Linked DNA regions of Caenorhabditis elegans. The protein of the gene in region 2 interacts with the protein of the main gene of each other region in a pairwise test. Each region holds a gene or a part of one and is shown on either strand. Other genes may lie near its edges.

Evidence for each region.
Region 1: the proteins of mab-21 (region 2) and sin-3 interact in a two-hybrid assay, tested with the Caenorhabditis elegans proteins (one study listed by BioGRID).

The regions. Positions count from the first base shown.
Region 1 is NC_003279.8:8,414,828-8,418,585, reverse strand, and holds the start of sin-3 (Paired amphipathic helix protein sin-3), read right to left. Parts: upstream 1,756-3,758; 5' UTR 1,755-1,755; coding exon 1,080-1,754; intron 692-1,079; coding exon 405-691; intron 136-404; coding exon 1-135. Other genes in the region: F02E9.7 (Tartrate-resistant acid phosphatase type 5), read right to left, coding at 2,500-2,719, 2,764-2,885, 2,932-3,079, 3,356-3,705. UniProt on the Caenorhabditis elegans protein: Probable transcriptional repressor required for the deposition of dimethylated 'Lys-9' of histone H3 (H3K9me2) on asynapsed chromosome pairs (both autosomes and sex chromosomes) during meiosis, but this does not seem to solely affect the transcriptional status.
Region 2 is NC_003281.10:4,598,882-4,602,639, reverse strand, and holds the start of mab-21 (Protein male abnormal 21), read right to left. Parts: upstream 1,904-3,758; 5' UTR 1,821-1,903; coding exon 1,788-1,820; intron 1,745-1,787; coding exon 1,580-1,744; intron 1,536-1,579; coding exon 1,294-1,535; intron 1,248-1,293; coding exon 769-1,247; intron 1-768. Other genes in the region: sel-2 (Putative neurobeachin homolog), read left to right, coding at 3,445-3,562, 3,619-3,693, 3,740-3,758. UniProt on the Caenorhabditis elegans protein: Acts in a cell autonomous fashion to specify the properties of the sensory ray and non-autonomously in the choice of hypodermal versus neuroblast cell fate.

The DNA of each region.
Region 1 (3,758 bases), on a different chromosome or scaffold from region 2:
GAAAAAACATATTTTCGATCTGGAGTCAATGTGATACGATATCCAGTTGGCAGAAAAGTATTGAATCCAAGAACAAGTTCCGGTGAATCATATAAAAGTTCTGCTACTTGTTCAATCACATCAGGTGTTTCAATTCTGCAAAAAAGACAGATATTTGTTTTTTTTTTTGGATTTAAATAAAGCAAAATTTAATCCGCATCAAATGTGTCGGTTTTACGATATTTCGGAAGATAGCTTGAAATTTTTTGCCTTTTCAAGTAAATTATGTTATCTTATGTTTGAACAAAACAAATGTTTTTTTAAAGTTTTTTGTAAATCTAAGAATATTTGTTTTCCCGGAAAAACCAAAACAATTTTTTTTGATTTTCAACCTTCAAAAATAAAATTCAAATTTTCAGAATTACCTCTGAGCACGAAAATCCTTCATAATTTCCAAAAATCGATGATAAACGGGTACATCAGATGAGAAAGTACTTTTAATAACTCTCAGATAGGCGAGAGCTTCATCAACACGTGGTGGACCTTCTGGTTTCTTTCGACGACCTGGACGATTTTGTCGTCGGCCACCTTGTTGTTGACGAGGCTCACGTTGAGGACACCCTGCAGAAGTTGCTGGAACAACTGGAGGAACTGAAGGAACTTCATTAGAAATTGGTCCTTGTTGAGCAATTGGAAGGGCTAGTGGAGGAGTCTGAAAAATAGATTTATTGGTTTTCGGAATGAATTGTTAAATTGACGTAAATATAAAATTGTCAATTGCTATAAATTTTTTTAGTTCAGACATGCATTTCATTGATAAAATATCATCATCTAATATTTGAAAACAGTCTTAAACTTCAAATTTTTACACATTTTCTTCAAAAAACTTACGAAATGCTGAAAAACAAAAGTAATTCTGTTATTTTTTGAGCTCAATTGAGAAATATTAGGTTTGCGAATTTCGGGAAAGCAGAAATGAAGGACAAATTGTTTGGCGCTACAGTACTTTCTAACTTTTTAAAATATAATTTTCTATAAAGAAAGGTTCAGACCTTCCAATTTTCAGACATTTTTTAATTTTCAATCAAATAAATATTTACGGGAATATGCTGCTGATGCTGTACTTGTTGAACGGGAACCTGACGATGATGGGCCAGGATTTGTTGTGCCTGTTGAGTCGATGTGAGATTTTGAATATTCAAAGCTTGTTGCTGTGGAATCGGACGAATCAATGGAGATTGTTGTTGACTGTTGGCCCTTGGTACATTTGCAGCCTCTTCCTGTGCAATAAATTGTTCAATATTTCTTGCAGCTTCACTATTTCTAGCAAATGGGGTTATTGCCGGTGAATGAGATGGTAGTAGATATTGTTGCTGAAGAGCAGAAGCTGCTGGTGAATGTGATGGTTGAAGTGGAGAACCGATATGAAAAGGAATTGGAGAACCTTGAGCATTTTGTGCAAATTGTGCCTGAGCTGCTTGAACAGCAGCTTGTACTTGAAATAATCCTAAAGGATTAAATGGAAATTGATTGAGTCCTTGAAGAAGTTGATTTTGTTGTTGTTGATGTTGCATTCTTTGTTGTTCTATCAAAATACGCTCTTGATCACGTATTTGAAGTTCCAGTTGTTGTTGTTGTTGATTCTGATGCTGTTGTTGATGTTGTGATTGTTGAATCATTTGTAATAAAAACAACGTCGCATTATTTGTAGGTTGTTGTTGAGATTGATCTCCTCCATTGTTGCCACCGCCGCCTCCAGGTGGTGGATTGTACATTCTGAAAATCTAACTTTGGAAAGTTACCTTTAGTGAGAAGTTTTAGAAAATAGAGAAAAGAGACAAAAATAAGTTTCTTTATTGATTTGCTTTTTTAGCACATCCTTAAATTTCCAACGCTGTTTCAAGCTGAACGTTCAGTTTCAATTTTTTTAAAAATCAATCATTTGATTTTGTATTATTGAACTTAAAGTTTGAAAACCGTATATAGCTGAAAAATCGAAAGAAAATTTACTTAAATTCTTTTTCAAATGTTGAGAAAACTTTAGTCTTTGATTAAAATGAGACATTGTTACGAAACAGTAGAATTTTTGTTTTTCTAATGTTACAAAGTTTTCAAATTCGATAGGAATATTGTTAGTAAATGTTTGTATGATTAAAAAACGTTACACTTTGAAATTTTAACAAAAAAAAGAACATTTTGTTCGTAAATCCTGTGAAGTATTGAAAATGGCGCTCGTTTCTCTGCTGCCTCTCCTCTCTCGCTTTTGCCTTTCAGAGCGCGTTTGCATACAGCTTAAGAGACGCAGAGAATTTATTTTCCGGAAATATAATTTAACGAAGTACGCTGAATAACCTTTAAAAAGGTGGCGGAGCTCAAAAAATAATTTAAATATTACAATTTAGAGCCCAACAAATAAATAAAATTTTTATTTTCAACCCGTTCAAGATATATTATACATGAAATTATGAGGGAGTTCAATAAATATTCAAAAAATTGAATTTCAACTGCTTAAATAATTAATTACATTCCTATTTCTACAAACGGTGAGGCAGTTGATCGTGTCGATGTATCCGTCGGGATCACACGTGTGGGGATGATCGTCGAATAAAGCTGTTTTCCTCTTTTGTCAAAGAAATCGAGTCGAGCATTGTAATGTCCAAATTCTGCATATATTAAGCCGCCTTTACGGAATCCGAGCTGCGAAACTGGTGACCACGAGAACCATGATTTTTCCGGATAACTGAAAGTTTGTTGAAATTACTTTTTAATGCTTTCAATCTTCACTTGAACTTCAACGTATCCCTACTGAATTCTTTAATATGCTTCGTTGATGCATCTGCTCGAGAAGCTGCTCCAGACACAACATAGTTAATTATATGCTCTCCATACCCGGGAAAAGTGAAATGCTGAAACATTTATAAAGTAATTTGAATTAAAATTACTAAGGTAAACCTGCAACGAATGGTCGTGTCCTGAGAAGTAAGCATTCACATTAAATCGTTTTAAAAGTGGATCCAAACGTTGACGTAAACAGTCAGTTGGACCATGTGATGACATAGAATGAACAGGATAATGACCAGAAATTATTAGGTATTGGGCACTGAAAGAGGATTTTTAAAATAAATTTCCATTACCCAGAAGCGAAATCTTCCGATTTCTGGGCCAGGCATAAGATGCACGGTCTCGGCACGACTAAATTTTGTTGAATGCAAAAATGTGCGCCTTTTTTTTTAATCTTGAATATAACAATTTAAAAATAGATGAAAATTCCGCAACAAGAGTTAAAAATTACAGTACTTTAAAGGTGCATACCTGTTTTTATTTTACAAAAAGGTCGTGGCGAGGTCATTTTTTGAAAAAATCCAAAATTCCTAACCTGCTTGCTTCTAAGTTATTCTCCAACCATGCCCATTGTTCTTCAGCGGCAGTTATATTAACAGGACCACGTGGATCATGTGATTCATTACGTAACATTTCAATAAAACCAGCATTTTGAATATCCTTTGTATTTCCACATAAGGAAATTGTATCAATCATTAAAAAATCGATAGAAGTACCATTGAATTCTACTGATTTCTTATAGTAAAGTGATGGAAAATACCACTTTTTACTATGTTTTGTATATTCAATCTCGGCGGTCACATTTCCAAAATGATCATGATTTCCGGCTATTGTGAGCCATGGAACTTGTAGACTCGGATTCGTGTAGACATTTTCGAAACGTGACTGAAATATTTTAAATTTAGAGGGATTTACTAAAATTTTGGGTTAAAAAAAAG
Region 2 (3,758 bases):
ATTTAGAGAATTAATTTTACGCGTTTTTATTAGTGGAATATTTTTGATTTTAACTCAAGCCAATCTGAATATAAGCTGTCAAAATAGGGAATTTGAGATACAGTACTTGTGGGAAATTACATTGAAGATCTAGTTTAAACATTATGCTTCTTTTCTAAACTCCGCAAAACCTACAAGTTAATATAATTCGAATTACCTAGTATTCTACAGTTTCCATCTTCATCTATATTCTTAGATTTGGTTTCAAAACCTATTCATTGTTTTCTCTTCTTCTTTTTTTCATTCCAACTGTCAATCGGTTTGTCCCATCACCGTTTCAAAACCTTATTCGAAACGACACATTTGTCTCGGATCTCTTCAGAAGTTCTACACTCTATCTCTCTACCTCATTTTTTTCCGATAGATTTCACGCCAATAGTTGATTAGAAAGTTGAAGAAAAATATATTAATTCAATTTAATAGTTTTCCTGAACAAAATTATTTTCTTGCATCTATATTCCTTTCTATGTGTTGTACTTGTACGTGCACGCATTTTTTCCGAAAGAATGCATTAGGAATGCATGCCATGGCACTAAAATAGAAGGGAAAAGTGATGAGAGAAAGAGAGTATAGAGCACCTAGAAGAAAAAAAATGAAAAAGCTCAAGAAGACGACGACATCGTTCTTCTTGTGACACGCGATGGCGTTTTTTCTTCTATTTTCTTGGCGAATGGTCACACAATTTTTGAACAAATTATGGAGAAAGAAATTTTGAATAAATATACCCACCGACAAGGCGATCTCCGATATTTGGATCTTCCCATTCGTATTCACTACAGTGCTTCTCACATTCGTACAATACCAATGTCTTCAGTATGTAGTTTGTTACTGGTGTTCCCGGAAAGTCCATGTGAGCATCTCGAAGACATTTCAGAATGCTCAATGTCTTCCGCCGACCTCCAGTTAGTAACATGTTCTCTGCACCATGCATCTTCATTGCCCAGGCATCGGCTTCCATACTGCTCGCTTGCTTATTCGGATTATTTTGTTGAGTGATTGCAGTTTCACGACTCGTCAAGTCGAATCCCTCGGCTTTTGTCTGATTCGCCAACGCGGCGTTCGGCCATGGAAGTCCTGCAATTGGCCAATGACTCGCTGATCGAGGCCAGATTCCGTTGCATCGAAATGCACAAGTAATTTGAACGGTGTACTTGTCATCTACTCGAACTCTCACATCAGTGTTATCTTGTAGCAACTTACAGTAATCACTGCAATTAAAATATTTTCAGAATGTAGAAAAGTAAATTTGAATACCTGAATTGTGGAGTTTGTAAAACTTGAGCCACAATATTTTGGAATCGGTGGCGAATCTTGCGAGCTGATAAATATCCAGAAGCAGTAATGAACTCGACCCAAAGGGACATTGATCTTTTCCGACCATCACTTAGTTTGAGAACTGCACATCCTTGAATTGTTCCGTCGTCAACAAAATTGAAGACACCCATCTGGTTGAGGTATAGCACTGCCTCATACTCGGATGGAGAATGTACCACAATCTAAAAATGAAATTTATTACATTGACAGAAGAATCAAAACTTACTCCATCGAATCTTCCAGTTGTAGTTTCACTTAATGTATTAATGAATCGAGGTTCTTGTGCTTCAACTTCTTTCAATATTTCTTGTACCACTTTGGCGATTCTTTGTACTGTTTTTGTGACACGAACTTTACGATGTTGAACTTTTTCGTTGAAATAGTTATTCACCTAAACCAAAATAAAGATTATCGAAAAGATGAAGCATACTCACCTGATAAACAACGTTCTGGTTATGTCCTAGCATGTTGGACAAGCGGAAACCGGGAAAAAATGCACACAAACAGATATGCGTGTGTGTGTTCTTTTTTCGATGATGATGAAGATGATGGGCAGCTACGAAGAAAGAGGAGTCCTCAGGCAAAAAGTGGGCGGAGCCTAGGTGTAGATGGAGATAGTGGAGACGGAGAGAGAAGGAGAGTAGGGATGTACAGAGATTGTTTCAACCTGGGAACCTGGCGCCCACCACAAAGACCCACTGAACACGGAGAGTATATAAAATAGAGAGATAAAGATAACAAGGTGTGTCAATCATTACCCGCTCTGTATCTTTTGGTTCCCCTCTTTCTCATATCACACGCGTCTTATCATCACCTCCTGAAGGCCCACCTTATTACCGGGCTACGACCCTGAAGATGATGATGAGAATATTGATAAATGATAGATGATATTATGATGGCGGTGGTGTCTAGTGAAATCGAGATGGGAGCCAAGAAAAAAGGTACATTTCGATATTTTCTGGAAGGACTAGAAAATTATATTCTGGGCAATCTAAATGTGTGAGAATTTAGGTTATATATCCTTTTAATATTCAATGTATACCGTTGGTTATTATAAATTTTGAATAACCTCATCGACCAATTCTTCTGGTGTCTACCGTGTCTTTGGAGCAGTGCACTTGTCTTCGAGAATTGTTCAACAATTTTTTTTCAAATCGATCTTATACAACAAACCTATAGGGTCCTCCAAATGGGTCCCTAGTGACCTTTTGACAGTGCACATCCTACACGCATCACACTGATTACGTAAGCTGTCAAAGTTTGCATACCGGAAGAGATATAGATTGTTACTATGTGATAAGATTGCACCGTACAGATGAAAAGGAGATTTGCTTCTGTGCAAGAGATGGAGTAGTTTCGACTATTGCAAATGTGTAGAACGATGGGTTCAGAATAGTGAATAAAATTAGAGATAAAGTATGAAGGCTTTTTAAGGCTTTTTTCCAGGTGGTCTTCCTCTTTATTGTGGTCCGACATCTACAGGGTCCCCATGACCAAAGCTGGGTGCGGAACCCAGTAGATGTCGGGCTATGGTGAACAATAACGTTCTGTTTTTATTGTTTCCTACTACCGTACTTCGTAAACTTTCAAGGATTTCTTAATAAAATAGAAAAAAATTTAAAATACTATATCATTGGTGTCGAAAAATAAGTTAATACTTTCTTGGTGGAAAATTTTAATAGAAGGATAACTGCAGAAAATAAAGTTTTTTTTAATTAAGGAGGTGTCAAATATGACACGAAAAATAATTCTAACAGACCAATAGTAATCTCAATTTTCACCCCCATATGTCACCGGATTTCACTGAATCACCCAAATCGTTTATCCTCTATTTCCTCTATCCTTTTTCTCCCGTTTACCATCCATAATCGGTCCATTCATGCTACCAGCCACCTCCCCACATCATAATTATCTGTGTTCGTAAGTGACCGGGCACTCATCCGGGAGCTCAATCATTATTACATTATTGTTATTAATGGGAAGGAAAAGCGAGTGAAATCGGATATTAGGAGCCAGTGGGTCAGGGGAAAGTGATGTTGAAAACCCGAAAAAGGATTACGGTAGCTAGATTGAAATATATTGTATTTTCAGGTTCTTCGATATTGTGAAGCTCTACATGCCAGGTGGAATCTTCAAGAAATTCGAGCAATTTTCCTTCGACGATATCTTCTTCAGAACACTGCGTTGGAATTATTCCTTGCGTCAAGAAGTTTGTTTTCAGCTCAATATATTCAAATTTTCATTAATTTTTTTTTCCATTTTCAGCTGCCATCATGTTTGCTTTTGATTCAGAAGATGCTGTAAAGAAAGTAGTTTATCAATTGCCAAGAGTTGGAGTTGGTAAGTGTCTCTAGAAGCTTTTCATGTGCAATTTACCCACTTTCAGGAGTCAAATATGGACTTCC